Oreochromis niloticus: one gene and its partners. The protein of the gene in region 2 binds, or shares a complex with, the protein of the main gene of each other region. Links are inferred from orthologs where the notes say so. Each region holds a gene or a part of one and is shown on either strand. Other genes may lie near its edges.

What was found. Proteins that work in one complex are often made in the same cells at the same time.
Region 1: the proteins of ncapg (region 2) and ncaph are in contact, whole or in part, in a crystal structure (PDB 6IGX), measured with the Homo sapiens proteins. The link is inferred for Oreochromis niloticus from reciprocal best matches to the Homo sapiens genes NCAPG and NCAPH. Residues at the interface, in NP_071741.2 of Homo sapiens: Lys11, Phe14, Arg15, Gln18, His50, Tyr51, Lys53, Tyr54, Val55, Met56, Val57, Glu62, Ala64, Val65, Val68, Phe102, Ser106, Glu108, Ala109, Asn110, Ser111, Val114, Arg115, Ile149, Arg150, Lys152, Asp153, Lys154, Arg159, Glu188; in NP_056156.2 of Homo sapiens: Glu471, Ile472, Asp473, Phe474, Glu475, Asp476, Asp477, Ile478, Phe480, Val482, Tyr483, Phe484, Arg485, Lys486, Thr487, Ala489, Ala490, Thr491, Ile492, Leu493, Gln501, Asn502, Trp503, Ala505, Thr506, Thr507, Leu508, Phe512, Tyr514, Val516.
Region 3: ncapg (region 2) and smc4 share a complex: the UniProt entries of both Homo sapiens proteins name them as parts of the condensin complex. The link is inferred for Oreochromis niloticus from reciprocal best matches to the Homo sapiens genes NCAPG and SMC4.

Annotation. Positions count from the first base shown.
Region 1 is NC_031977.2:6,090,344-6,100,854, reverse strand, and holds the start of ncaph (condensin complex subunit 2), read right to left. Parts: upstream 4,269-10,511; 5' UTR 4,118-4,268; exon of another isoform or gene 4,048-4,117; intron 3,154-4,047; 5' UTR 3,149-3,153; coding exon 2,931-3,148; intron 2,797-2,930; coding exon 2,706-2,796; intron 2,562-2,705; coding exon 2,469-2,561; intron 1,790-2,468; coding exon 1,672-1,789; intron 1,513-1,671; coding exon 1,361-1,512; intron 3-1,360; coding exon 1-2. UniProt on the Homo sapiens protein: Regulatory subunit of the condensin complex, a complex required for conversion of interphase chromatin into mitotic-like condense chromosomes.
Region 2 is NC_031971.2:21,718,561-21,728,736, forward strand, and holds the start of ncapg (condensin complex subunit 3), read left to right. Parts: upstream 1-5,179; 5' UTR 5,180-5,285; intron 5,286-5,316; exon of another isoform or gene 5,317-5,442; intron 5,443-5,578; 5' UTR 5,579-5,600; coding exon 5,601-5,708; intron 5,709-6,192; coding exon 6,193-6,447; intron 6,448-6,844; coding exon 6,845-7,073; intron 7,074-7,323; coding exon 7,324-7,469; intron 7,470-8,617; coding exon 8,618-8,702; intron 8,703-9,472; coding exon 9,473-9,665; intron 9,666-9,747; coding exon 9,748-9,897; intron 9,898-10,101; coding exon 10,102-10,143; intron 10,144-10,176. Other genes in the region: protein FAM184B, read right to left, coding at 940-981. UniProt on the Homo sapiens protein: Regulatory subunit of the condensin complex, a complex required for conversion of interphase chromatin into mitotic-like condense chromosomes.
Region 3 is NC_031979.2:23,948,348-23,958,776, forward strand, and holds the start of smc4 (structural maintenance of chromosomes protein 4), read right to left. Parts: upstream 4,269-10,429; 5' UTR 4,113-4,268; intron 4,046-4,112; exon of another isoform or gene 4,023-4,045; intron 3,429-4,022; exon of another isoform or gene 2,749-3,428; intron 2,740-2,748; 5' UTR 2,730-2,739; coding exon 2,588-2,729; intron 2,450-2,587; exon of another isoform or gene 2,332-2,449; intron 1,606-2,331; coding exon 1,415-1,605; intron 871-1,414; coding exon 679-870; intron 1-678. Other genes in the region: ift80 (intraflagellar transport protein 80 homolog), read left to right, coding at 5,268-5,304, 5,529-5,750, 7,801-7,911, 8,046-8,114. UniProt on the Homo sapiens protein: Central component of the condensin complex, a complex required for conversion of interphase chromatin into mitotic-like condense chromosomes.

The DNA.
Region 1 (10,511 bases), on a different chromosome or scaffold from region 2:
ACCTTTGTGGGGAAGACAGAAAGTTTATCATAAACACAACCTACCTTGATATCAACTAAAAGAGGCATTTAAGCTTATTACTATGGCAAAGTGATGCTGTGATAGTAATGAAAAAATAAATAAATAAATAAAAATCACTCGAGGTGTCTTCTAAGACAACATCTAATTTAACTATTGATCTAAATCAAACAAACTTATCAATCATCATTGGATTTAAGCTGATTGAAGGCTGTAATCCATGATAGTAATCCAACATCAACTCTAGCAGTGATGCTGAAGTTGTTTAACATTTAGTAAAGAGACCTCTGTACATAAGTGAATATAGAAATTTGGTACGGCGACTGTGCCACCCTTTTTTTTTTAGTTCTAAACAGTAAGATCGTTCTTAATTTGACTGCTAAATATATAACAACACCAAAAATAGTAAGCAGTATTCATAAATTTGTATTTTTCATCTTGTCATGTCGAACAGTGGGTTTCTGTACAGGAAATAAAACAGAAGGCTGTTTTTTTTGTTTGTTCTTTTTTTACTGATTCTCCTCCACACTAACTTTTTCTCATGTAATATAATCACAGCTGAAGCATGTTCATATCAATAAGGATTTAATTAATTAAATAATTAACAAAAATCTAAGCTCATAAATAGCCCAAGCCTAATGAATATACTTTCAGCTCATGTTCAAAACCCATCACATAAATCTACAGCTACATTACCTTAAGTGAAGAAACTAGTATAATTTACTTGGTTAGAATCAAGTACTGCTTACTTAGATTACAGCACTGTTTGTGTAGTGATGATAATTACATTTGGCATAAAAATAGAGATCTACCTCTCTCTGGGTCTTTGTTGTTTCTATATTATATATATCAGTTTAAAGCATTCCACCTATTTTAATGGAGTGAGGGTGTGTACTGCATCTCGAGGGAGTTGCATCTTCTATTCTGGTGGTAAAAGATAACAACATAGCTGAGTCTGTTGGCTACAAAACAGAACGATTTGACCCAAAATCCAAACAGTGAAAGGAAAACAAAACAATCAACCTCTGAATGTTTTTAGTGTTGTTCATTTATGTGCATGAGCCGAGATCTTGCAGAACAACAGTGTAAACAAAGGTTGTTTTCAATTCATTCTTATTTAACCCAAATACTGAATTCCTGGATCTATACATTGATAGCTATATTCTATTATTGCTTATTGCTGCATGACATAAGCAATAAGCAGGAATATTTCCCATGATTAGTCATTGGCATAGTGGTCCCGAAGCCCTGAACGATACTTCTGTTATTTCAAAAAGTAAAAAAAAAAAAAAAGAACTGAGGTGTGCACTATTTTAGTTACTTTGCTAAGACCTCTACATACCTCACATCTCCTCTCAGACTCAGCACTGTTGATGTTGCTCAGGTTCTGCTCTACTGTCTTCTTGGGAGGCCTTTTCTTCTTTGGCTGCTTGGCAGTGACTTCACCTCCTGCAAGTCCTGCATCATCTCCATCTTCCTCTGTTGCACCATGGCCTGTGTATGCATAAAGAATTCAAAAAAAGCAGAAAATCTTCAATAGTACAGGAAGGTGGGTTCAACAACTTTAAAACTGTGTTAGAAAAAGCCAGAAAGCTCAAGCCATAGCACAAGTATGGTTAAAAGAAAATCCAACGACAATACAGAGACTCTCACCCTCTCCAGGTTTGGTTTCAGCACCCAGACCACCCAGCACTCTGTAGGCATCAGCATGAACAGCATCCACCCTCACAGCGTAGATTTTCGTACTGGCATCCAGAGTGCCAGCTGCCACCTTTAGGATGAAAAGATGTAAATATTGAAGGATACTGCTTGCAAAACTAAATAATAAATACTCTAGATTAATACAGAATCCTGCACTTTCTCAGAATGAGTGGTGCTTGTGAGATGAGAGATCACACTGGACAGAATGCAGCCTTAATTTTGTATAAATTCTGCTTCCCTGAATTAAAATCAAACTGGTGTTAGCACCCGCCTAACTTAAACAAGTCAGGTGGGTGCTGAGTCCAAGAAATATATTCTCCTGATATTTTAAACACACTTTAAAAAAAACCCAAACAACATTTCTATGTTCTCCAACAACCAGAAAATTATTTATCATGATGTCTGTGAAGATTCTCAGTCATCCAGGTCATCGTAGTCAAAGGAGTTTGCAAAGAAAAGCGTCTGGACTTCTTTAAGTTGCTTGAAGACGTTTCACCTCTCATCCGAGAAGCTTCTTCAGTTCTAAGGTCAAATGGGTTTAAATCTGGGACTCTCGGCCATTTGACCTTAGAACTGAAGAAGCTTCTCGGATGAGAGGTGAAACGTCTTCAAGCAACTTAAAGAAGTCCAGACGCTTTTCTTTGCGAACTCCTTTGACTATTTATCATGATGTTTCATTCAAATGTTTAAATCAGTTCAAAGACTTTTAGAGAACCAAAATGATGAATGAAAGAATCAGTTACACATACCTTGAAGTTGGTGAGCTCTGAATCCTTTTGTTTGAGAATATCAGCCATGTAATCAATCAAATGCAGACCAAATGCATTTTTGGTGGTGATTTTCTGTCGATAAGAATAAAAAAGTACTTAATTCATTTATTTGCCCCGTATTTCGCCATATTTTTTCATTTACCAATCACAGAGAAAGACAAAGGACATTTACTGTAAAGGGAAAAGAGGAAAATGCATACACATACAAATACTTACATTTTCAGTGGAGAGTTTTATGCAGGTGGAGTAATGCTCTGAGATCTGTGCATTTGACAACTTGGGCACAGCAGCAGGAGTTCCCACAGTGCTGATTAGGACAATGAGATTGTCTTTGAGCTCTCATGATACATAGCAGCCAAGCAGACAGGTACTGTTTGTCAAAGCCATGGCACAAAATGTTTTTACAAATTACTTTTAGTCTTGCCATTATCTACAGCATACCTGTGAGATGCAGAGTCATTGAAGGAGGAGTCACTTGCAGCTTGAAGGTCAATGACTCTTGACCTCCTACGCTGACGTCGCTCCTGCTCATCATCGTTTCCAGGGAAAGCTGACAGCAGTGGAGTGCTGCTGCCTGCAGGGGACAGACCCTTATTCTTCAAAGAGGATGACATCCATCCTGGTTGTACTCGGGAGACGGGTGTGGAGGCTCCGCTCATCTTTGCTGGAGATAGGAAAAGAAGTTTGGACTGAACAGGGGGTTGGAAAGAAATAGTGCTTAAAGAGCAGAATTCAGCGCTCTGAATGTACCGTACACATATCAATTTGAAGCAGGAGAGAAAGTTAACTTGGCTCAGTTAACTATTTGTTGCAGGCAACTCAAATAAAATCTAGAATTTAGGAAAAATATTAAAAGTAACTCAATGGATATCGGTGGTGAAATCTGTCAATACAACCCACGGGATGAGGCATATATTTGATGCTAACATAACTGTGAATCAGCTGTTTTTACAAAGTGCTGTGCTTGTGTTGTTACAGCTGTTTGGAACTTACAAAGGAAAACAAAGTTTAAGCCAAGTTTAAAAATTACTAATGAGAATAAGGAGAGAGAATGTGGTCTCATGATGGCAAAGAAATTGGGAGAAAAAAGACAAGACAAACTCTTAATGTTGGCTCTGGTTATGCAAGTATGATATGCTAGGGTTAAGTTCGCATCAATCTTGCCTGTTTGCTACCGAAACAACGTTGTTTACTTTAAGGGTTCATCATTTATTAGTATAGCACAGCACAGTCTGCGAATCCTTCCTTTTGTAGACTCATATCCATTGACTTCAATGTGGATTTCCATCAGCTTAGCTTGAACGCTACTCGCACATAAACAAAGGAACTCTACAATAAAGTATTAAACCAGTGAAAAGGTTATATACATTCAACTAAAGTAAGTTTTCAGAAAGCAAACGCCATCTTAGCACAACATATTTGGTAAGCTAGTTTAGTAAAATAATCACGTAAGAAGCACATGTACTGCCCAAACGCACTTACATGCTCACGCTAACTAAGCTAACTTTACATGCATTTTAGCATAACAACCCTAACTTCGGTATGAACGTGTTCTTACAGTTAGCGTTAGCAGGCTTACTAACAAATAAAAACTTTATCACAAGACTTGCTTCAGCCCCAAAACATACCAAGAATTGCCTTAAATCCGACGGAGACTTATGTAGACCCGTTATAAGTTGTAATATGACAGAAAGAACAAGCAGGAAATTTCTTCCTGTCTAGCGTTTGAATTTTTGCGCCGAACGGTTTACGTAGCAGCAACCTACGTCATGACGCTAACCACGCCCACCACAGCGAGAGAAAGTGAAAATCAGATTCAGAGTAGTTTAATGACCCCCAAGGAAACTATGAAAACAGTGATCTTGAGATAAAACTCAATGATTCTTCTTCTTTTTAATAATTATAATAATTGTTTATAATAATTCTTCTTTAATATTAACATAAAGTAGTTTTCGTTGAATTGTTTATTTTATGATATTGTTTAATAAAAACATTACATCACGAAAAAGTAAGTGTTCATCAGTTTTTATGACAGATAATCAGGTTTTTTTTTTCATTTTCAATACCATAATAGCATCCCCCACCATGTCTTCCTTATGCAATGATCTTTTGACTACCATGATCATTGACGAGTGAGTCAGTAAATCCTTTAATGTTTAAGTGGTCTGCTCCTTAATAAGAGGAATAACTGGTACTGACTGAGTGTATTTTGTATGTGAAGACATACTGAAACAGTGTTTGCTGTAATAATCACAGATCAAGCATGACATGTGAGGCTAGGGTCTCGAAGTTAAGCAGCTGTGACTCAGTAAACATATATTGATATTCACATCACACTAAAGCAAAACACCATTTCTCCATGTTTCATCAAAATTCCTGCACAGCTAAGAGAGCACACATGCTGTCACTTTCATTTTTTAGCATGACAGGATGGAGCACTTTGCTCGGAACCATTTTCTTTTTACTTCTATCACTTAATAGACACTTGATAGATATTGTTTGACAGCCACAGCCGCAACTCTAACAACATCAACTGACATTCAGCTACTAAAGTAAAGACTGAAAAGCAGCATGCAAGTTGCACAGTACATTTCATTAATAGCTATTTCTCTTATAATTATTGACTGAAATAAAAACTAAAGCAAAAGGAATCTTTCTAATGACATGAAGCAGCGGCTTTGCTTCATTAGACTGGCTGAGAATAATGGCAGTGCATTGGCTACTCACTAGATGGCAGTGACAATCAAGATTGTGTTGCTGGTAAGTTGAACGGTGAATGGATTCAGAATTGATATAAGAAAGTCAAAATTTTGTTAAACTACTTCCAGAATTTTAAATATCAGTTTTCAGGGAAGTAATAATTAGGTAAGTAATAACTGTGACACAATCCCATAGGATTTCCTCTAAATGAATATTCTCATTCAAATGAGAAATGCCAGTTACATTCCTTTATTAGTGTGACACTAACCCTGCTCAATTTTTCCCATTTTGTTTTTGTCTATAGAGACCTTCTGCAAAAGACCTATGGGAAAAATTCAAAGTTAAACATTAGCCAGTTCATTCCAGTTTCCATGAGTAAGCTTGACACAGTCAGAAAAAATGCCTTTCAGTGATGTTTGACAGGGTTGATCAGAGTATTATCTTAACTCCTTGGAGATGTACCCTCTGCCCATGCAGTGAACATCTTTGATTGCACCAGTAGTGAGTGTGTCTGTAAGGCAAGAGAAAGAAGCTTGAGTCACAAAAGAATTTAAGCATAAATGCATAAGTTTTAGCACACAGATGGCTCCCCAATTGGAGAATCTGACCAAATAAGAGTGTCCTCAGAGAGTTGTGTACACAAAAATAACAGCCCAACTGTCCTGGAAAATGTAAACGGATATTTAAAGTAAATGCTTTCCATTTTAAAAGTGAATTCAATTTAAGGTCATAACAGAAAACAATGTTATAACTAATCTAATTAAGTAACTAACTAATGCATTAGCTAAATTTATTCCAAATTTTGAATTTGATGGCCTTTCATTGTTCTTGGATTTACAACTTCAGTATGAAGGTATACAAGCAGATTGATATTTACACTTTATTTTACATGTTACACATTATGCATATTTTGACTTCCACCTTGGACAGTAAGGTTTCAGCTTCTCTAGTCATAAAATTCTTTTGCATTTTTGCATCAGTGGCTAGGCTTCTCTATTGCAGCAATTTTAGCGCGTTCCTCCTGAAGGGAGGGGTGGAGGTGGAGGGGATCCAACAGACTGGAAACTGTGGTGTTGCTGTGCACGTGTCCTGAAGAAGATGATAATTTTGCACCTACACCTTTTTAGTGTGCAAATTAAGAAAATCTCTATGGAAATGTTAGTGAAGGAGGCCTAATATGAATGTTTTCTCAGTCAAAATAGTCACTCAGCGTTAGAGGTGGTGGTTTATTTTTCATATCTATAAACTAACAAAGTCTAATAGTTATGAAGTTCACTCTTTAAATGAGGAACAGACACTTGTGTCCTCAGTATAAGAGATCTTATTCTTGTAAGACCAGGGCTGACTCTACCAAATAATAAAACATGTACAATGTTTATTCTCCAGGACACAGACAGACACATATCAATTCTGCTGTTTTTTGCTTGATGTTATTATTGGACTGTGCTGAAGTAGCTTTGCATGATTCCCAGTCGAAAAGCTTTGTTTATCATATACTGGGCCTTTGTGCAGGCCCTTAGTGCATTTGCTGTTTTAAACAGCTTGATCATTTGGGGCTAAATAAAGGCGTGAGTGGAGTGAGTAATAAAGGAGTGAGTAGCCAAACAGATTTAGCCCAGGAAACAACACTGATGGATGTTGGAATCAATTCTGTTTGAGTTTGTCTAATGCTGGAACGCTTATTGTGTTGATACTGCATGTGTACATTTTTCAGTAATGATTTAATCCACTAAATTCAGTTGTTATGTTACTGTTACAATTATGATGTTATTTGGAAAAGTTGGTCAATTCTCTGCATGAGGTGGATAGAAAGAAAAAACAAAACAAAACAAAACAACAACACACAAGCACACTTTTTTCTTTCTGTGCACTTGCGCTGCAATCAGCTGATTTCAGTTTGTGTTAATGATGTGCAATAACCACTGAGTTCCTTTCTGATCTGATCCCCAGTAAAATTCCGGCTAGTATCAATGATACTGATTGGCTACTGATACTTTAAACAAAAACCTAATGTGTTTGGAAAATCTAAATAAAAAGTAGTGTATTTCAAATTATACCTTTACAATGAATACAAGTGACCAGACTACTTGTTCTTATTGTTTGATTATGAAGAATTACCATATACAAAATAAAAAAACCCAAAAGTCAATACCATTTGAAAATATTCAATTAACAATCACTCAAAACAAATGTGACCGACTGAAAATAATAATACAGCTGAGACGTTTTATAGATGCCTGTCATTATCTATCTGTCTTATGTATGAAATATTTAAGTTGTATTTTTATATTTTAAAGTCTATCAAGGCTATTTTACTGTAAGTATGCTGTATATTTCAATGACACCTAGCATATATAATCCATTTATCTGGGAGTGATATCACCCTAGCAGCACCTGTCCCTCTCCTCTTCAGTTCACCTCATCATAAACTCGTCATCATTTTCTGTGTGATAACTTACTTTTGTTTGTGTTTAACAGTTCTGTGACCTTACCAAGTGAGTGAATGAGCACACGTGAGCCATGATGCATTTATACAGCGGTATTTCACTATGACAGGCGGAAGAAGTAGTTCCTACCAATCATTCAGATGGTCCCAATAATACAGGTACTTTCTACTGTGTTCTTGTTAATGAAAAACTACAAATTTACCCCAAATTACTAAAATATTGATATTTTAAGATGAGATTTGATTCTAGAACATAAATATCTGGTACTGGAAGAATTGATATTTCAGTATCGATCCACAGACCACTAGTTTGTGTGGAAGAGAAAAAAAGTGTTGGGGTGGTCAAAAGCAGAAATGTGGACATTACTTTTGTTTTTATTGCTCAAAAGCACAAGAGTGTGATTTTAAAGTTCAAACTGCATTCAGGACAGAAGCAATGTATACTGCTAACGCAAGTTTGGCTCTTTGCGAACAAGCTAGCCAAGAACCCAGCGTGATGATACAGCTGAGTGTGTGCTGAGCAGAGCCTGATCTTCAGTGATGAGTCGGCTTGTAGCTCCCGTTTGTACCTTTTGGTGTTTTCAGAGTAGAATCACTGTGACAATCGCTTCAAAGTCTCTTTGAGCTGGTTTAGCTTTGCTTTGTGTTGCTGGGTTTGTGGTCATTAATACTAGAAGAAACATTATATTCAAATTCAAAATTCAAATTCAAATTTTATTTGTCACATACACAGTCATACACAGTACGATATGCAGTGAAATGCTTAGACAACTGCTCGTGACCTAAAATAAAAGACTATGAATAGGATAGGAAATAAATATGAAAATTAAAATGAAGAGTAAATTTAACTAGGAAAGAATAAAATAAAATATAAAAATTAAAGTTAAAAATAAAATAACTGTACAACAAAATACACAATATAGAAAATATAGAAGAATATATGAAGAAATATAGAACAATAAGAGCAGCTGTACGAGTAATAAATGGTAATGAAAGAAATGTAATGTCCAGGGTTGTGCAACCCACATATTTAAGTGTCTTGTGCAGTGCAAATATGCTTAAAAGTGATTTATTTAAGTGACTTGTGATAGAGTGATCTTGTTAATCAATAACAAGATGGCAAATGTAAACAAATGTAAACAAATGTGCAGAATGTCCAGTGTGTGTGTAAAAACCATATGTGTGGGTCAGTACTATGTGGTGGTGTGATTGAGAGACCGTATCGCCTGCGGAAAGAAGCTCCTCCTCAGTCTCTCTGTGTTGGTCTTCAGGGAGCGGAATCGCTTTCCTGACCTCAACAGAGAGAACAGTCCATTTTTGGGATGGCTGAGGTCCTTCACGATCTTCCTGGCCTTGGCCCAGCACCGCCTGCTGTAGATTGAGTGCAGGGCAGGGAGCTCGGAGTGGATGGTGCGCTCAGCTGATCACACAACCCTCTGTAGAGCTCGTCTTTCCTGAATGGTGCTGTTCCCGAACCAGGTTGAGATGTTTCCCGTCAGGATGCTCTCTATGGTGCAGGAGTAAAAGTTCCTGAGCACCTTGGTGGGCAGTTGGAAGTCTCTCAAGCGTCTGAGGTGGTAGAGGCGCTGTCGGGCCTTTTTCACCACGGTGTTGATGTGACAGGACCATGACAGGTCCTGCGTGATGTGAACCCCGAGGTATTTGAAGCTGTCCACTCTCTCCACTGGGCACTCGTTGATGATGGGGGTCTGGTAGTTCCTCTCCTGCTTAGTGCTGAAGTCCACTATCAACTCCTTTGTCTTACTGACGTTTAGAAGGAGGTTGTTCCTCTGGCACCAGTTCTCCAGATTCCTAATCTCCTTCAGGTAGGCCGTCTCGTTGTTATCAGGGATCATCTGATCATCATATCTGTATTTGTGTTGGTGTGTGGGACTGTAGCCTATACGTTTACATTATTATTTCAGGACATTTCATGAAGTAATAATAAAGTAATGTAATGGCAAGTAAGTAAGAAACATACTGCAAGCATTAATTTTAAGAAAAGTAATGAGTAACATGTAAGAAATTACTTTTCTTGGGTAACCCTCACAGTGCATTGTTGCTAAAACATGCCTTGCTGTCTACTTGCAGAACTGCCATCTTATAAAAGAGACAAAGACATTTCAAATGAGGAGTAACAGGCACGCCTTTATTCATGATCACAGACACGGTTGCGGTATATTTCTGAGTAACATCTGTGAATCCTCTCAGGCTGCTAACAGCTTTCAACTATGAAGTTATTAACAACATGCTACCAATTTCCACCTGCTCTTTTCTCACAGCTGGATTGCAACAGCTGGATAGAAAGAAGGCTGCCAGCAAATACTTTTGTGTGTAGCTCCAAATGAAGCAGTAAAAGTGAACGGGAATGATGCTTTTGCTTGTTGCAATGGAGACTACACATCTATCTACAAGGCACAGTGTAACTCCACGATGGGATTTGTCTGAATCATTTGGTGTACTCTACAGTTCTGAAGTTCTCAGACTTATGTGTGTGTGTGTATACGACTGTGATTAAAAAAACAAAACAAAAAACATCTATCCTGTGGCACTACTGTTTATACAACCTGAGTATTGAGACTAAATCTCTCTATGAAAATGGAGGCGACTGCCAGTGTTACCACACTGGGGTATTGTGGGGTGATGTCTGTCTTTTATTATTCTCCTGGTGGACGACAGGCTTTTCTCCTAGTCATAGTTTTAATCATAACAAAGGTAAAGCCCCTGTGTGCTATAAAATCTCTACTTCATCCAAAGGGGAGCACTCTATCATGATTTATGATAATAGCATTTATTGCACTGGCTATACCATAACCTCATACACGTAAGCACAAGAGCGCACACTCCAGCATTCATGTGAACATTCAGCGTTGCCT
Region 2 (10,176 bases):
AGACAAAAACAAGTCCTGGCTTTCTGTGGAGGGAAATCAGGGTGGAAAGGAACGGAGGGGCACGAGAGGTTGAAGGACGGGGTCGGCGAATTCCCCTAACAAGCACAGACACAAGTGCTGACCCCTCATCTGTGTCATCTTTGTTTGCCTGGGCCTGTGTGCATGATAGGAAGTCCAATTTTTTTTTAAAGACACAGAGGTGCATCCACAAGGGAAGATGAGAAGTGCACAGTCATCAGTAATTGTCATAGCTCAACAAGCCATGGGTCATGCCCTGCCTCTGTGAGCATTATTGTGAAGATACAGAGAGGGTGAATCCCCACATGCAGCTGCTGCAGCTGTTAAACTCCCTGATAAACACAGAGAAATGCCATGTTGGTGTACCAAGCTGTTAATTAACTGTGGGGATTCATCTGTTTCACACCACAGTTAATTGATAGCACACCTTTGGGGTCGTTTTTCTCTCTGTTGGTCAGACAAAGAAGCATCACTCTGGGCTCTGGCCCAGTGAGCTGTGGAATTGTTTTAATATCCTAACCGTCCAGATTATAAATCGATGCAAGGTGAAGGTAATCCATAAATCTACTGATTGATTAAAATTGCATCAGTTCTAATTGCTGCCTGATGTCTGGTGCTCGGGATCTGCAGCTGTCAGTCACGAAGCTGATCCAAGTTTTCCCGTCGTTATCCCGAGATAATGTAAAACATGTAGACCTATGTACCGACTTTATAGCTTCTTTTACCAGCCTGCTCCTTTTAAATTATTATTTTTTTATTTATATTATTTTAAACTACGGATTTCATGTGTATTTTCATTTATTTTGACGCGCCGTCCGTGTCTGAGTGTGAGGCAGCCAGCGGATCATCAGTCAGCCTGACAGGAGTGACATCCGGGCGGCGCGCCTCCCTCCCTCTCTCGGTGTCACCGGCGGGTCTTACCTTGGTGAGCTGAGCGATCTTCTTGCACATCTTGCTGTGCATTTGATAGTCGTACAGCTCCTGCTCGATGTTGGAGAACTCTGCCGCAGTCCCGTTAACGGCGGAGCCCGGCCCGGGGGCTGTGCAGCCTTACCGGCGCCTGAAGCCATAACGAAGCCCCCCAGGGGAACTTCCCAGCCCGGAGGATAGTCAGAAATGATCCCGCCGCCTCGCAGATGAAAATCCCCACCAGAAATCGTGTCAACTTTTTTACTCGCGCATCTCATTCCCCCGTCGGCACACCCTCTCCCGCGAACGGCATCTCGAGTAATCCGCTGCAAAACATTTGGGAGTAAATCGGCGGGGCTCTCCTCGTGCGTTCCCGTTGTTGCCCCCCTCTCCTGCTGTCCGCCCGGTGATCGCGGAGGTCACACGCTGGAAGTCCATCGGGGACGCGCTCGCGCCGACCGACCCTTTCCCTGTTGTCAACGGATTTTTTTCCTCCTTCTTAGTCTAACAGGGAGCGCTGGAGGATGAAGGCGTACAGTCCGACCACCTGTCTCGCGGCAGGGGCGGAGCGGGGCGTGCGTATCCTATGGAACATTACCGGAGACAGCTCGAGAGGCGCACTGCTGCAGTGCTGCCCCGCCCCTACCGGAGCTGCTGTATCAATGCCGATCAGCGCGCGGATGGGAGGTGGAGGAGGAGGAGGGGGTCTCTGGGGTCCAGTCGTGTGATTTTACTCCATCAGTCAGATAAAAGGGGAGCACTGAGGGCAGTGTCAGTTGCTGTGGACGAGCACACGATAACCCACATGCTTTGACTGTGGACTGATTTCATTGAAAAAAAAAACAGAACAACTACTAGCACTCACTATAAAAGGTGGATTAGCACAGATGAAGGAACTTCCCACACATTTATTTGTTTCTTAAACGCACTACTTTCCAAGTACACATGCACACCTCGTTGTCTCAAAGAAAACCCCTACTTAAGAGTGTGCAAGCAAATGAGAGCGCAGTGACTCACTATATGAGTGGACTCCATTTACTAAATATTCATTTCTCCACCTTAAAGGTGTAGCCTGCTCCAGAAATGTGTTGCTGCGGTTTTCATAGCGTTTGGTGGACTGACAGAGACAGGTTAAAAAAAAAAAAAATGCAGCAGAGTGTCAGGATGTAATGAGAGGATCCAAATGCAGGGGCATTAACAGGATTTTTTTTCAAGGGTTATAACCGACCAGAGGGGGCTCATGGGAAATCAGAATATGCTTTCAGAACTAAAAATCACTCGAAACTGGTTGAAAATCCAGTGAATTGTAATGATTTTAATGTGCACAAAGGTAACTACTGAGAAAAATACAGTGGACTCTTTTTTTTTTGCACAGTAAAGAAATTAAGGAAAGGTATGTGAGAGGATGTCCATCGTTCAAAACCAGGCTGTTAAACCAATAGATTTTACTGCATGTAATATGATTTAACATTATACAGATATACATTTACAGTGATGTGTTGACGGGGAGAAAACAGTTTTTCCGGTTGTTATTTATCTGCAATTTTTGTCTGTGATTGCATTGATATAATAGCACAATATGTTTGGAGGTGGGGATCAAATTTCAATGTGGTGGGTGCCTCACCCCTTCCCAAAGTGGGCAGGGCTATATATACACAGAGAAGACAGAATGAATGACAAAACACAGAGGTCCAAGGTGGAAAGGACGTGGAGAGAGCAGGCAGTCACAACGTAGGATAGATGCCATAATCTGAAGTGTCTAGTTTTTGTAATTGTGTTTATCTAAGGATAGATCATTTTTGGTCCTTGCATCCTTTTTATAAATGCGATGAATCTACAGATAAAGTTGAGCCTGTGAGGCACTTGAACATTATGGACCCAAGTGCTTGAGTTAACTATTGAACACGGTCTTTTAAGTTCAAATCTTCAGTTTCTAATGCAAGATTTTTGACTTCTTGGCCTTTAAGCTGATGCTGAAGTAAACCCTGATACGATAAGATCAACTCAAATGTGTGTGGTTATTCTGGAGAAGGGTGAGATATGATACGTGAGATAATATGGCAGTTTTTCAGATCGCCAGAAAACCTTTGGCTTTAGCTGTTTGCATAAAAAGTGTCACAAATAAGCAACAATAAAAATGAGAAAAATATGCAATTTAATTAAAGCATCCCTTCACAAAAAAAAAAGCAGTTTTCTCAAGGCGTTTTTATATTGTGAGGCAAAGACTACAATATTAGACGAACTCAACAAGCAGATGGTCCTCCTATGAGCACACCCTCGACAATGATGAGAAAAACATCTCCTTAATTAGAGACCTTCAGCAGAACCAGATTCAGGAAGAGGCAGAAATCTACCATTGCTGGTTTGTGGGTGAGCATAGAAAATCTCATTTTTGTTTCCTATTTCCACAGTGCCGGTGAATTATGGCACAAAGTGGACATGATATCAGACATTTATAAAGCCAACTTAACCATTATAACATCCCCCCTGTTTAGGCTGTTTGCATCAACCCTCTCACATCCAAGTGTTATTCAAGCACAGACATATACAAACATTTATGACAGAGCAGTTTGGTAGGATAATACCTGCTTTGGCCAGACCTTCTGTGCCACTTACGTTTTTCTGATCATTTTTTGGGACACAGTTTGACTCGCGCCATCTTGGGCCTAAATCTCTCTGTTTCTGAAACATTCCTCTTAAACATTTTTCTAAATGTGCCCCAGGAGAGTGTGTTGCTGTGCCACCTTTATAAATCCAGTTTTGATCTAATGACAGCCTAGTTTAGTTGAAACAAACTGATTATTGGGCCACATTCTTTGGTGGTTCACATTATGCATCATAATCTCAAACAAACATGAGAAACTAGGAGCAGGTAACCAAGCCTTTAAATATGTAGGCCTAAATGTGTTTATTACCTTGCAGTTAATACAGAGTTTGAATCTCAAACAATTTCTTGTCACCTTTGCAGTATTTACAGATGTACACAGGGGTTTTTTTCATCCCTCTGGCTTCTGATGCTGTAGCTGTGTGGTCTAATGCAGGGATAGTTTGTCCCTGTATTGTATAAATATTTAATATGATAATACACCTTCATGATAATCCCTGGCCTACATGCACACAGGTCTAAAGCAAACAGTCTGACAGAGTGCCATCTATATTAAATTAATTTCCAAAAATAGATGCCATAAAATAAGGAGCCCTCTCTGTCTGTGTAGAAGCACGTTTTTGCCCTCCTTATGGGTGAGCTGTCCCCTCCACAGCTGTCCAGCAGCTGTGGCCCTGGACACTGGCTGCACGATACTAATGACAAATATATTATACATATGAGTTAAATTATAAACATCAGTAAGTAGTTCAACAGAAATTCATCCATATGATTACCTAATGTATTTATATAGTTTTAAAGAGAATAGGTTTTCAGTCGAACTAATATGGTTGTTATAAAGTAAAAGAGATGCTTTCATAAAAGTTGTTAGTCACCTCAGTTAGTTCCTTGCAGGAAACCAAGCTAAATAAAAGTTTAAAAAAGGGTTAGGGTTAACAAAACAAACAAACACAAGAACTCAACTAATAATTATTGGTATATTGCCATTTTGAAGTATAAACATAATGCAGAGGAAATCAAAAATACCCTTAAATTACATTTTTGCATATCTACAAAATCTGTTAAATATTTCAAAACTGTGAAAAAAGCCATCAGTGTTGTCTCAGTGGGTTTGATCTATAGAATAAAACCTCCAAATATCTTCATCACACTATCTTTGAATATTTCCCCAGTAAAACATTAATATGACATCCAACATCATTCAGTTGCCATCTTATTTGCCAATGGGTTGATTTAATTCAACAAACTGATAATGATATTTGACTAACATATTAGGGATACATACGGGCATCCATAAGTCAAACTTTTAGGCTAGTATTTCAAAATTTAAATTTATTTACTCAGAATTTTGAATTAGAAAGCCGGACTGCATTTTTTAGATTTTTTATTTATTAATTATTATTATTTTTAGTGGCAGAAACAAGCTCTTTTTAATTTAAAAATTTGAGAAGCTTTTATAATGTTGTTTTCTCATTAAAACAATTATTCTAATATGGCAGTGACAAGAGGTCAAATATCCATTGTTCGATTATCAGATAAAATAAATAAATAAATAAATAACCTTTTTTGTCAGCTATATCCTCCACAGAATCGCTTACCCGCTTGGCATACACCAGTGACTGTAGAAACTACAGTCATTGGCATACACAGGGAAAAACCATACACGTGACGCACATACGTACGCAAACAACTCAGTTCTCGCGAGAGTAAAATTCAAAAACAGGCGGTTGTTCACTGAGAAGAAAACTAAGAGGTACGTTTTAAAGCTCACGCGTTAAGCTTTTGGCTTTAATACTACTTTTCATGTCTGATAATTATAAAACGCCTCTCTAGGGACTTCGTCGTGCGTGACTTAATTACGTTGCGTTGTTTATTTTCTCTGCTCTTGTTTCACTGGTAATTCTCTCGAGGTGGGTTTAGGAAGCTAATGAGACACCGGAGACCATCAGGCTGCTTCCTTTACTGCTAGCTAATAGAGACATTTCTGACAGCAGAGTTTACTCTAGGTAAGCCTGCTTCGGCTCATGGTATCACTATCTGTATTAGTTTAGGTTTCTGCGAAGGAAAGATGACAGCGGACAACGAAATAGACATCAAGGAGGCGTTTCAGCGCGCTCAGAAGGGCCACAATAACAAGGCAAAGCTGGTGGCGAGCCTCAAGAGCCGCTACAACAAGGTAGGAGATGATGCTTTCTTATCAGTCTCTTCCTACTTGTCTTTCACATTATCCTGGATTAATGAGTGCATTGTCATATCTTTAATGTGATAAAATAACTCAGTTTATACGAGAAAGTATAAATGCGCTGTCTTCTTAGATATGGAAGAAATACAGTAAAGTGAAATTAAAGCTTGTACACAGGTTTTCATTCTCCTTCGTCACATCTACGGGTACTCTCTATATATCCTCTTGCACTTCGTGCTTGAATCTCCTTTGAGGTCTTCCTCTTTTTCTCCTGTCTGGCAGGAGACAGGAGACTTGCTTAAGTTTCTGGAAGTTTAAAGTGCTTGGGGGCTGTTTGTATTAAACTATCGGACAGAAAGCACACTAATCTCAGATTAACTGAGATGTCTGGATTGTTAAATAAGTCTTTCAGATGACCTAGGTTCTTATTATTGATCTCATAAGCAAGGACCCTTCTTTCCTCTGTCTCGTCCCTCAGCTTGAGGATAAATCACTGTTCCACGAGGAGTTTGCGCACTACCTGAAGTATGCAATGATTGTCTACAAGCGTGAACCTGCAGTTGAAAACGTCATTGAGTTTGTTGCGAGGTTTGCTACAAGTTTCCAGTCTCCGCCTAAAACAAACGAGGGGAAGCAGCAGCAAGAGGAGGAGGAGGAGGAAGAAGAAGAAGATGATGATGATGCTGAGGACGATCATCCATTTCAGAGTTTCATCTTCAACTTTCTGTTGGAGGTATGAACATTATAATGCTAGTTTATGCCTGTGAGCACTGTTTTTTGGTGGTGTTAGTGAAGTGACCAGCAAATTCTTGACCTATTGATTTTGATTTGTTAAAAATTTCTCCTTTTTTTTTCTTTTTTTAAACAAGTCTGTTAACCACAAAAATTAAAACTTGTACATTTCTGATTTTGCTCTGACTTTTTGAACACAAAGGCTTTGAGGTGATTCTTGTCTATACTGCCTCTCAATCTTATTTTGTGGTTTCCCATATGACTTCTTTCTATTCCTTATGTATTCACATCTGTTTTTCCTCATACACTTGTCCTGATCCAATCTATGTTCACAATTACTCTCGTATCTCTGCCTTTTCCCTCCTAATCCGAGTTTTGTGCCTTCCTTTTTATCTCAGTCCCACAAAGCCAATAGTCATGCAGTACGTTTCAGAGTGTGTCAGCTGATCAACAAGTTGCTGGGCAGTATGGCTGAGAATGCACAGATTGACGACGATCTCTTTGATCGCATCCACCAAGCCATGCTGGTCCGTGTCACTGACAAATTCCCCAATGTGAGGATTCAGGCTGCTTTGGCCATGACCCGCCTTCAGCAGCCAACAGATCCAGACTGTCCAACCATCAATGGTTTGTTTTTTGTTTTGTTTTGTTCTTTTTTTTTTAAAATATTGAAATCTGTGACTTATTATCTAAAATTATGTGTTGAATCCCCAAAATCCTCTACATGGTCTTAAATTCTCAATCTTCTCTTGAATCTCACTTCTTAGAAAGTAATTATTGTCACGTTTTTTTTTATTTTTATTTTTTTTATTTGTTTGTTTTTGTATTTGTGTATCTTTGTTACTGTCACTAACTGCAGAATTATTTTCTCCTCTAGCGTTTATGTTGATTCTGGAAAACGATACTAATGCCGAGGTGCGACGTGCCGTTCTGTCCTGTATTGCAATGTCCCCTCGGACCCTCCCCAAAGTACTCAAACGCACTCGAGACATCAAAGAAAATGTCCGCAAGCTGGCGTACCAGGTACCTATGAATAGGGATGGGTATCGTTTAGGTTTTATCTGATACCAGTACCAAACCGGTACTTTTGAAACGGTGCCGGTGCTTAAACGGTGCTCGAACCGGTGCTTAAAGAATGGAGAACACAAAATTGGTCCAAAAACCTCTCATGTTCAGCTGTTTTTTTTGTAAAAAGATAACAATGTTAGCCTTTTCTGCATCTATAGGGCATATATGGTATCACTCTTGGCTGGAAGCAGTGCTTAAACAATGGAAAAAACACAAACTTTGTCCAAAAACCTCTCATGTTTAGCTGTTTCCCACTTTTTCTTTGGTCATTTTAGCGTTTTTGGCCAGGGTGAATGGAGTATCTGCCATCAAACAAGAAGAGAGCCGCATGTAACTACGACGGTGTTTGCTAGTTCACCTTACATGCATTAATGTAATAATGTGGTTAGCCTACTCAACGTAAATTACACACGAACAAGATTAAGCTACTCACACAGAGGAGAACGGCTGCTGCTGCCATCATCATCCGTCATCATTTCTGCTACACTGACAGGGCTAGGGGCCAGGACTCTACTCTTCGGGTTTTTGGGGGATGTTGCTAACTCCGGGTCCGATAACAGGCACCACACCCGCAGTAAATGTGCTCGGTGTGAGGTCTCGCAGCAAGCAATCAAATATGGCGCATTTCTCGGCTTTTAACAAAATGCTATACGTCGCCAGGTGTTTCATCAGATTTGAGGTGTTACCTCCTTTGACAGTATCACAGTATCAGCTTAAAGCACTTGTTGCAGGCTGCTGAGTTTGCATCTTTTGCTGTGAAGTACAGCCAGACTTTGACCGCTTCGCCTTGGGCGTTTTTAATCTGTAGCTCTGCTCTAAAAGAACGTACGTACCTGGGCCCGCCTACTATCCTCGGAAAGGTAAAATGATTGGCTAGAATCCAAAGTGTATGACATCTCAGGAAAAAAAAGCACCGAAATAAAGCACCGAAATGTGCGCTGCTTTTCGGTCTGGTTACTACCGTTTATGTCAGAACCGGTCCCATAATGGCACCGGATACCGGTACCCATCCCTACCTATGAATGTAAAAATATGTATCCACTGCAAGGGCTGGTTGATTACGGAGATTTGCACTAAAACTTCCATGTGTGTTTCTGTTTAAGGTTCTGGCTGACAAAGTTCACATTAAAGCTCTTAGCATTGCACAGAGAGTAAGCCTACTGCAGCAGGGCCTCCATGACACCTCAGGTAATACTGATTTTTGTGGTTAAATAATACTATTTTTATACAGATGCATTTATAACTTCAAAATTTGCACTTAAAGTAACGCAAAACCCCAATCAAAGCTGCTGCTAACTTTTTAATTAGTAATACACCAGTTATTTTTTTCTTCATTGTCAAAAATGTTTGTTTATACAGCAAAAAGCTCTTTGGAATAATGAGTGATCTAAAAGTTAAAGAGATTTCTTTACCAAATATAAAATGAAAAACACATTGGAGAAGTTGAGCCCTTTTTTACCCCTCGGCTTTAAAAGGCTGATTGGATATTGAACTTTGACATCCAAGTTTGTGAATTCGATAACTCGACAACGAAGCAACGCTTTCAAACTGATACCAGAAGTGTATCAATCTCAGGATTTGAATCTGTGACCTTGACCTTGAGGTCAGGCTTTCTGAAAATTTTGTGAAGGCAATAACTCGAGAAGGAAGTCGCCTTGAATTTTGAAATTGATAACATAAGTGATAATAAAAATCTCTGACGAGTTTAAATCTCAGTGATCTTGACCTCAAGGTCAGAGGTCAAGTTTTCTGAAAGTCTTGTAAATGTGATAACTTGAGAATAAAGTGCCGTAAGAGTTTCAACTTGATACCATAGGTGTATCTACTGGTGTGCTGATGGGTACCACTGGGCACCGCTAGTATTTTTGTTTATGTAGAGGAAAAAGTGTCAGAAATATCTGTTGATTGACAGGAATGGTTCTGCTGTATATGTGTCTGATAGCCTGTGTGGTTTTCAGAAGCGGTAAGGGAGGTGGTTTGTTCTCGTTTGTTACCGGCCTGGCTGCTTCGGCTGGATGGGAACATCATTGAACTGCTCCATAGGCTGGATGTGGAAAACTGTGCAGAAACGGCTCTGGAGACCCTGAAAGCGATCTTCAAAAACATCCTGACTGAAGAGCTGCTGCAGAACCGAGTAGAGCTCGACAACAGGTACTCTCACTTCTCCTTCTGTCTAACAAATAATAAATAAAATGTCTGAAGTTACAGATCATGATGTGTGTGTTTTTAACAGGAGGCTGATCCCAAAGGACAGTCTGACCTGTGAAAATGTGCTTTACTGGAGAGCTCTGTGTGAGTTCATCAGGAGTAAAGGAGATGATGGTGATGAAATGCTGGAGCAAGTCTTGCCAGATGCAGCAACATATGCCGACTACCTCTGTGGGTAAGAAGAGCCACTGTTATTGGATTATAAATTGGGGTTTTCTTGCTTATTGCTGTGCTCTGTAAATTCTGAACCAAATAGCTTTTCATATTGGATATTTTATTGGGCACTTAATGTGCTTTTAGTTACTTTGTGATGTTTTATTTGAAAAAAACAAAAAACAAAAACCAAACAGTTGCCATAAAGATTGTGTTGTGACTCTAGGTATCTGAAGGCAGGTCCGGTGTTCTCAGAGGAGCTCCTTCTGTATGTAACTGTGTGGCTAACTCAAAGCTTATA
Region 3 (10,429 bases), on a different chromosome or scaffold from region 2:
AGTCTAAAACTTTAAGTTGTTTATACTACTTCTGATTTTTTGTTTTTGTTTTAGAAATAATAGTTTAAAGCTGATATAGCACACAAAATTTGACCATCAGTTTAACAACTTGATTTGAATTTACTTTGAGCTAATGAAGCAAAGAGAAAGGCTCAGACACATTTATGAGTACACAAGGCAAAACACTTTCTCACACCCCCTGTGGCAGATCAAATATAGAAACGTGTTTAATTCTTTGAACTACAGTTCAGTCGATTTTCAGTGTAATCTGTCATCTTAGCCACCCAACTGAAGTTCTCTCTCAATACAAAAGCCACTTTGTTGACTTTTCACAGTACAGTCAAATGAGTAGAGGCTAATTACTGAACTGCAATTTAAAAAAAATATATATATATTTAAAAATAGAGGGATCAACTCTAGCACAATATGAACTGACTATGACATGTGTGGGTGTTAGCTGTAACTTTCATGACTGATTTGAGTCTTTGTTTAGTCACTGTTGTGATCACTATGCAGCAATATTATACAGAGAACAAAAAATATATATTTTTTTTAATTCAACAAACACCACTATACTTCAGAAAATATTTCTTCTTATCTTTCTGCATTTGGGCTACCCATTTATTAATTCAGAGTGAGTGCAGCATGCATCTGTGTGACAGAGATAGATATATATACCTTATCAATAATCTTTTGAAAGTGCACCTCCACAGTACAGCTTTGCACATCTTTGTGTTGATCAGAGCTGTGAATCAGCACTGAGAGCTTTTTCGATCTGATCTTTTGAGCTCTGTATCCAAACACAAAGAGCATTGAGTCTATCACATTGGACTTCCCACTTCCATTTGGACCAATGATGCAGGAAAAGCGCTAAGAAAAAGGTAGAGAAAATAGAAAAAAATAAAATAAAATCAATAATGTAAAAACAGAGTCTATCCTGTAGAGTTAAACAGTAACATTTTACTTCAGCAAGACTGCAAATTTGAATGTATTCCATGTGAGTGTAAGTTAAAGTTGTTTTTAACATAGAGAAATTATTTAGTAACAAAAGAAACAGAAAAAGGTATGAAGACAAAGTTTACAGAAACTCACAATTTTCAAGAGAAGTGAGCACCCCACTAGATCACTACCTCTTGTGAGATAGACTCACTAAATCAAAATGGAGGAGTCTGACTTTTTCCACTTTGATTTTATTTAAGGCAATGATGCTAAAATATAGCAGGATAAATTATTCTGTGACATGTTCTGTTTTCTACTACACGAGGCAAAAATCTATGAGTTTATATCATATGAAATTAAACAGAAAAAAAATTAAATTAAGAGTGGGATACACAACAAGTGATGTTAAATCTGTGACACATCAGAAGAGTATTTCCCAGGCAGGGATTACATGTGTAACCATGTTTGGTCGTACCTTGTGAAAAGGCCCCAGAATCTGCTCGCCTGCATATGATTTAAAGTTTCGATTAACTAAATGTGTTATCATCAGGCGAGGGGCGCCCGGTTCATTGGTCATTGCTGGGGGCGGAGGTGGAGGGATGCTACCGACAATCTCCTCCAAACTTCTATTATCAACGGTCTCGGTAGCTTCCCCGTGAGACGAATCTGTGGCACACAAAAAGTACAACTTTTATTCTTCTGTTCGAGTCGTTTCAGGTGGGGGGGGGGGCAGTTGTACGTGGGGGAGGGGTAGAGAAGCATACTCGCGCACACACACACACAAAAAAACAAAAACAAACAAAACACACGCACCAAGTTACAAGAGCAGTCAAAGTACGACTCCAGAAAGAAAAGTTGACAGGCGTTATTTTTCTTTGTTCTGCAAACAAGAGCCAACCCCAAAAAAGAAAAGAGACCATGGCCGCTTATGAACGAACCCACATTATAATCCAAACGCTCTCTACGTACTCAGATGCGCCACATTGTCGATGACAAATAACTAAAGTGGAAATCTCAGCCATCAGCGTCACATTTTCACTCATGCCTGTCTGTGCTCAAACAGAAACAGGAAAACGGGTGTTTTGTGATAATAATGTGTAACGCAGAAACGATTATGTTGCCATCACACCAAGCCACAACGACCTGTCCAAAATCTATTGTGCTCACATAAGCATAAACAAGCAAAGATGTCGATGTTTGTCAATTAAAACCTCGCAGCCAGACACCCAGTGAAGCATTTCAACATATTCTACAAAATACAGACATTACCCACTGCTTATGTGCATCTTATAAGGTTCGCATAGAAATCAGTGAATATCAAGCTTACAAGAATTAAGTCAAACACCGCTCTGATCTACTACACAAAGCACCTCATTTTTCGAAATAAATTACCTCGTCTGCTGAGAAGATCCGGGGAAGAAGTACACTCGGCGTTATCAAAATCATCTCCAAAATCATTTTATTGATGACTGGCACTTTAGTGAAAAATATATCAGCCATTCTAACTCCGTGTTGTTTAAGCAAGAAGGGGAAAAAAAAGCTTTACAGCTGTGCCAATTGGCCCCTACCAATACAGCAATACACGCAAAGGCTTTGACTGAACAACTTATTTAGATTCACAGACACCAAAACACCCTTTGTTACTTGCCAGTTTTCGGCGGTGCCTCCTCTTGGCCATTGGAGTTGGTTTCTTGAGGGGGTACATCTAGCTCGTCTTCGGAGTCAGACTGCGACCCTTTCCCTCTTGGCTTGGCGGAGGCAGTTGAGCTCTTTGCAGTTTTAGATGGCATGACTTGAAATCTGAAGGGGTCATTGGTAAAAAGGGAATATCCATGAGTGGTTTTTGTGCCTGTCAATCTCTCAACTCCACTTTTAGTCGGTTACACGCAGCTTCTCTGTCAGGCTCTAATCATTACCACAGTCAGATCCTATTGACGCCCAGCTAACTGTTAATCGGTATACTTTGCATATCTTAACATTGCTGTTACAACAATGAGTCCAGCATTACACGAGTTACTCGTGCTGAAAACGTTAAAATGAGATAGCACCAATCCGATGACTGCACAGAATCATAAGCTATTTCAAGTTTAAAATCAAGCATCATTTTTCTTTAAAATAACCTATATTAAAATAATAATCTCATCCTTTCACAGAATAATTGTAGTAGGCATCTGCATCTATATCATGCATTTTATTTTGCCTCGCGAACCTAGGCGGTAAATAACGCAGCAAAAATAAGGTTAACGTCACAGCAAGTGAAAAACGACTCAGTTAATGTGCAAATAGCCTAATTATTTTCCCCCTTAGCTCTCTTAGCCTAGCCTGCGTTACACTGCCACTGCTAATGTGGCTGAAGTTTGGCTGAAGTTGGTGGTGAAGACCCAACGTCCTAAATTGATCGAGGTTTCAAACCGACACTAATATTAACTTTCATCCCCACAACGTTTTTGCTGGGGCGGAGGCGTAGACGAGCCAACCTAACTCGCTAGGTAATTGGTACGCACATTCAAACAACTAATGCAACTTTACCCGTGTTAGCATAACGTTATAATTACATTCACGTTTGCCAAATAAGTAACTTGGCAATGGCAGCGCAAACCCTGCCACGCTGTTTTTACTTGCTAACGTTACCGTTAAGTTAGCTATACTACTACTACTGCTGCTAACTGATTGGCTAACTATATGAAGTGAAATATCGCTGCGACGCTAAAGCTAACATAATGGCTAACTTAAACTATAAAAAGGTATGAGTTGCTGGGCTCTATAAAGTCAAATGGAGTGTCGGCATAAATGAAACGCAAAACCTATCCAACGTCAACGTGTTATCTGAAATGAAAGGAGTTATTAACCCTAGTATTAAAGTTAAACGAGTAAATACATTAGAGCCCGCCGGTTATGAGCTATTAGCAACGCGAGCATTACTTAAACGAGTCGGAAATGTCACTATTAAGAGTGAGTGTCACTGTGGGTTTAATATAAGTTAAGACGAAAAGTGATTAGGTCTCATTATTTCTGTTAGTATGTGTAATAATGGTCCGCTCGCTTTCAATCAGAAGCTAACGTTAAACCTTAGTTTAACTTGCCGTTACTGTTAAGTCCCTCTTCAAACGTAATACATTTCAGCAAGTAGATGGAACCCAGTCGTTACATTCCCCTAAAATACTTCCATGTACCTTCCACACTATAACCACGATCTGTCAAGAGTCTTCCTTTCAGACCACAGTCGCTATTACGCAAAAAATAATCGTCAATCCAAAGTTTGGCAAATATAATCCAAAAAATTTACTCCCGTGTCACTCCGACTCGCTCTCCTTAGTTGATAACTCAAACTTGTAAATGGCGCCTAAACCTCGCTGTCGAACCAAATTCGTTACAAACTGACGCAAGGCACCATGGAACGTTCAAAGGGCAGGGGGGGGGAAACGAAATTCAAAAAAGGGGACGAAGCCAACTCCGCCTCACTCCAAACAAACCGCATTCACACGACTCTAAAGAACAAACGAAAAGGAATAAGAGCCATGCAATGCGTTTACAGCAAATTGTTCATATTATTCAAGTTTATTCTTATTAAATGCCTAATGTTGTTCCTACGTCTTCAAACGGTTGTCTGTGGTACGATAAAGGACCTGCCCCGGGCAATGTCTATACTTGAGGAAATATAGCTCGATAGATCAACTGTTAGTGTTGGTTGATCCCGATTCTAACGACTTGCATAAATGCATTTATTTAACAGATGTCGTTTTTGAACTTAGAAATATTTCGAAATTTCCGTTGTCAAGGAAGTTGAGATGCAACTCTCGCGATAATTTGTTTTTCAAGCTGTTTATGACCCAGATTAAATGGCTACCAAAGTGCAGGTTTTACACGTTGGGGCATAAATTGCTGATTGGTGATAGATAAGACTTTTGCGTATTCTAATAGCGCTTCATAGTAGAGTAAATGACACGCACGTTTTGCTGAGAGTCGCTTAGTACACTCGGCAACGAGAAAACGATGTCCATTTTAACCAAGAGAACAAGTTAACGTTAGCATTCAAGTCACAGACGAGACTCAGGGGATAGCTGAGGACTTCCGTTAGCAACAGTAGCAGGTACCGTAGCAACAGCGGACGCTTGTTTGTTTCATCGTTACAGCTAACGGAGAGTGCAAACGGCTGCTTTACATAGTTTACGGGTAAGCTGTATACACCCATGCTTCAGGTCTTCTGTACTATTATTTTTTGTGTTGGTTTGACAACAGTGTTATATAGAGAGCTTTAACATAACAGGTACGTTACTGTCTCTGACATTTTTCTGTTCGTTTAGTGATCAACAGAACGAACATCCACCATGAGACTGAAAACGTCGCTCCTAAAGGAATCCAAACATATCCTTTTTGTAATTATGTAACACATGTAATTCTGTGACAGAATTCCAGAACTTTTAATCGTAATTATTAGTGGTGCTATTTGAGGCAGTGATAGTATTTTCCATCCTTGTGTTGCTCTAACCTCTGTCCATTTTTCAGAAAACCCAATTTATTGCAGAGGTTACCACAAAAAAGGGTTTTAGAATCAGTTCATTACTAATAACTCCTTAACAGCTGATCACATAAAGAACTTGTGAGCTGCGTTGGCTGGACCACAGCAGATGAGCTGTACTCGTGCAGTGAGGATCATCAGATTCTCAAGTGGAACCTGCTGACCAGTGAGACCAGTCTGATTGTCAAACTGCCAGAGGAAATTTACCCTACTGACCTACACTGGTTCCCCAAAACTGTTGGTGTGAAGAAACAGGCCCAGGCTGAAATCTTTGTTCTTACCAGCACAGATGGCAAGTCTCTGTATTCTCTGAAATTTGACCCGAATGTTAAAGGGTTTATTTCAGAGTTCATTCATAAAATGAGTGGCCGTTTTTTGGTCATATCTATACATTTATTAGTTAAAGACATTCTCATGAAATAAATAAATTAAATAAAGTAACAGACTTGGCTATCTACAGGATGGCAATGTCTTCCTTAATTTTTGATTATTTATTTTTTTAGAAGACATAGGCACAATTCAAGAGTTATTTATATTTAAGGGAAATAATCGCTACCAATTTGATACTTGTAGGATCCAGTAGAGTCCATTTGAATTCTTCTTTTTATGTATTCAGTATAAATCTGTGTCTAAAACTCAATTTTTGTTTTGTAGATTTCTAATACCGACCCCTTGGTTGATACTATTTGTGTGACATGAATCTGTCGTACATGTCTCTTCTTTGGCCTGCGTTAGATGCAACACACAGAATATGGATGTACTGTTATGGCAAGGCAATGTGTGGTCACAACACTAATGGCAGTGTAGGGTTGCATAAACACACCCACAAACTGAAGCAGCAATTTTCTCTGGCAGAGCAGAGACTAGTGAAAAGTGTTACGATCCATTTTGCAACTTTCCTCTGCTTCTTGTCTTGTTACGGTTAAAAATATTAGTATTGCAAAAGTTATTGGTTCTGCAATGGGAATAGAAACAGAGTTTTATTCATTTATTTTGACTTCACTGTTAACTGAAACACTGAAAGCTTTCTTTTGCTCCAGATTAAAGTTTTTAATCTGGATTCTTTGTTGGATTTCCTATTAGATTGTATGACATACTTGAAGAGAAAACAGTCCACCTGGGTTTTATTAGTTTTGAAGACTTTATATCTTTGGGATTTCCTAACCTTTTTTGATTAGTTGGCCTTCTTTCCCTTTTACAAGTTTATTTGTGATTTTTTTTTTTTTTTTTTTTTTTTAAATGTATGATGCTAAGCAGTTTCAGCGTTTTAAATTACAAGCACACATGGTATTGGAGTTCGTATAATATTTCATTCCTATTAAGCTTGATATTGTAAATTTACTTAATAAGCGTACTTCATTATTTTGGAATCCCCAATATGTTCACACTGTTAAGGCACAGAATTGCATAGCTCATACGTGGCATTTGCTGGAAATTATATTGTATGACAGATTTGACACAAGGAGGGTACGATTAAGTGTGATGAATATTCTCAGACTTTGTTTGGAAGTCTAGATGCGCTGCCAGGAATTTCTCAAAGGACCAAATATAATGAAAAGCTAAACTAAAAGGGTCGATTGTTATTATTATTATTATCACTATTTATTTTATTTTTTATAAGAAATCAAAAAATGAGGCTTTCCAGATAAGAGGCAAACAAACAATTAAGCATTTCCTATGTAGAATGTGGCTTTCTAATGTGCTTTTCATTTAAGAGAGTCACTCAGCTGTACATGCCTGTTAAACTGACTACCTGCTGGATCAGTTACATCTACTTTTGTTGGGATGTCCAAATTTAGAAATGAGAGAGCACTGCAGCATGCTGATTTGCAGTTTTAGGTCACCAGAAATTACATAGAACATTCAGAATTTTTAATACACACTGCCACAAAGTATATGGTAGGCTACGGTCTTCAATAACTCTCCATGGCTGATCACCCTTTCGTGTCTACCGCATAGAAAATTGCCCTAATTCACCCAACAGAGGCCTTTTTAGTTTCACTCATTTGCTTCAAACCAGAAGTTTGTAATTTACTTGATTGGAGAGAATATAAATTTGTCTGTATTTGTGTGTTAGGAGATGCATTGGTAGTTATTGTGTGTTTTGATTAAAATACGTATTTATTTATATATTTTTACTATTTTGTCTTGGCCATTAAAACTTGTTTTCTATTACACAGTAACTAGAATTCCACAGATTTATGAAACTTTACTGAGTGAATTACAATGCTCAGTTCTGTATTTGAGTTATAAACAACTGAAAACACCAACATCACCCCAGGCCTAGTGTGTGGAATGGCTTTACACCATCTATGTGGGGTTTTTTTGTAAATTTGTTGCAGGAAAGTTCCACTTAACCTCAAAGATGGGTCGCATTGAGAAGAGTGTTGAGGCGCACAAAGGAGCTGTTTTGGCTGGAAGATGGAACTATGATGGGACTGCTCTTATCACTGGTAAAGATGACTAGGACTCATTTCCTCTGTTATCTGACAACTACTCATCTAATCAGCCTTTTTTCCTTTTTAAATCAAAATGAGAATCTAATCAAGCTGTCTTTAAGGTCTATTCTGGTTGTTTTTCTAATTAGCGGGAGAAGATGGGCAGATTAAAATCTGGTCAAAAAGTGGGATGCTACGCTCAACACTAGCCAGCCAAGGTAAGGCTTAAAACCTTAATTTCACTGAAGCGGAGCTGCAAATGTGTATCTAGTGCATGTGCAAAACTGCACACTTTTCATTTATTATTTAAGCGCTAAAATGTTAATTAGCAAAGCAAAACGCAGATCAAACTGATCAGGAAAACAGTTGCACCTGTAAAATTTCTATAGTTAACAAAATGCCCAACTTTTCCTGATGTGTCTGAATTGGCCCGGCCTCACTTGAAAAAAGACTTTAATCTCAATCAGATTTTTACCTGAATAACAGATGATAATTAATAACACTATTTGCATCTGGGAAAAACCTGATTTGCTGGAGGAAAAAAGCAACACTATACAGTTAGTTCCATATGGTTTTGGGCATTGGCACTTTTTTTTTGCCATTTTGGCTCCATGCACCATCACAGTGGATTCCAAATCAATCAATCAACTTGTGAATGAGTTTAGAGAGCATGGACATTACTAAATGCCGTTTCTTCCCTTGAGATGCACTGCAGACCTTTAGTACTGCCATCTTCAGTCCTGCTTGTTTTTGGGTCACTCTGTGGGTCAAGTATGCTCTGTTGAGCTTAGATCAGGTGTCAAACTTGGCCACTGAAGAATATCCTGTTTCGTTGCCTTTAGAAACTCTTGGGTACCTTTTGCAGTTTGTTTCAGGTCATTTTCCCTTTGCACTGCAAAGCGCTGTCTAATTAGTTTTGGGTAATTTTGTTTTATCTGAACAGACACTACATCCCTGCACACTTAACACCTCATTGCGGTACTTCTTTCAGCAGTCGCATGATCTATAAACACTAGAGGCACAATTCCACTACCAGCCATACATGCCAATGCTATAACACTGCCTCCACCATGTTTGACAAATAATATGGTACGTTTTGGATCATAAGCGGTTTCTCTCCTTCTCTGTACTTGACTAGGTCCATCAGTCTGGTAAATGTTGATTTTGGTTTCATCTGTCCAAAAATATTTCACAGAACTTTTTTAGATGTTTTCCAGCAGTCTTATTTAGGCTTCTTGTTTTTGAGTGTAACCAGCAGTTTATACTTTGTTGTAAACCCTCTGTATTTACATTTATAAAAACTTCTCATGATTGTAGACCTTGACAATGATATGGCTAAATTTTGAGAATATTGTTGACTTGAAGTTGAACTTATTATGAAGGACGAGTTTTTTTGTTTATTTGCATTTTTAACAAATGAAAGAATTTTAAATCTTTTCCTTTAGTTGTCTTCTGTAGTCTTTCATACTGTTGGTGTAGCTGAGCTGGCCAGTGCATTGCCTTTTTTTTTTTTTTTAAGAAAATAACAGATTGTTGATTTGTCCAGTATTTAATTTTTTTCTATTTGTCGAATAGATTTTTTTTTAGGTTTTTCAGTTCAATGATGGCCTCCCTCACATGCATCGACAGCTCTGTGGCCCTTACATGAAGGGTTCAAGCGAGTCCACCTCACTTGAGGTGAGGTGCAAACTATTTAGTTTGCATGATATAATAAGGCATCAGACCTCACCTGGCTGTGTAACTGCTTGTCAGTCAGTTGTCCATTTTCTTTTGAGCAACTGAAAATGAGGAATGATATTAAAAAACTGTAATGCCCAAAGAGTTTATGCAGTAATTTCGTTAAATTTCTCAAGCTCAAGCTATAAGTCTGCAATTTAATCATGTATTATCTTACAAAATACACTGTGGTGGTATACAGAGCTAAAATTACCAAAAAAAGTATAATTCTTCAAAACCTTATTGACCTAACTGTAGCCCTTCTCAGACATGAGATGGCTATCAGTGCTTGCGTAAACAGTGTTTTAAAGACGTAAAGGGATTCCAGCAATATTATTATGTATTATGTACAAGATTTGGCAGCACAATAAGTAATATAAAATATAGTAGTTCAGAATGCGCATTAATGTGCAGAGCTCTTTTGATTTTCTAAAGCTTCTGCATTGATTCTGCTGTCATTTGATGCTACAAGTATGCAATAATCTCAGAAGAAACAAGTGAAAACAGTAAACTAACTTTTAATCTTAGTCTCTTGCTTCTGTTAGAACTCAAGTTAAATCATCACTGACAAAACTTGTTAAGCTGACATGTCACAGACTCTGTCCTCATCACATTTGTTAATGTGATTGCAGACTTGTTGCTTGTTGTGAGTGATACCAACAGATGTGGTCAAACATTTACATACACCCATCATGAGCATGAATGTCATAGTAATTTTGGTCTTTTAATGATTTCTCTGAAATGTTCTTTTTCCAGGTGGGAGTCATTATACAACATATGTGTTTATTGACTTAAAACAAAAGAATTGGGGAATTGG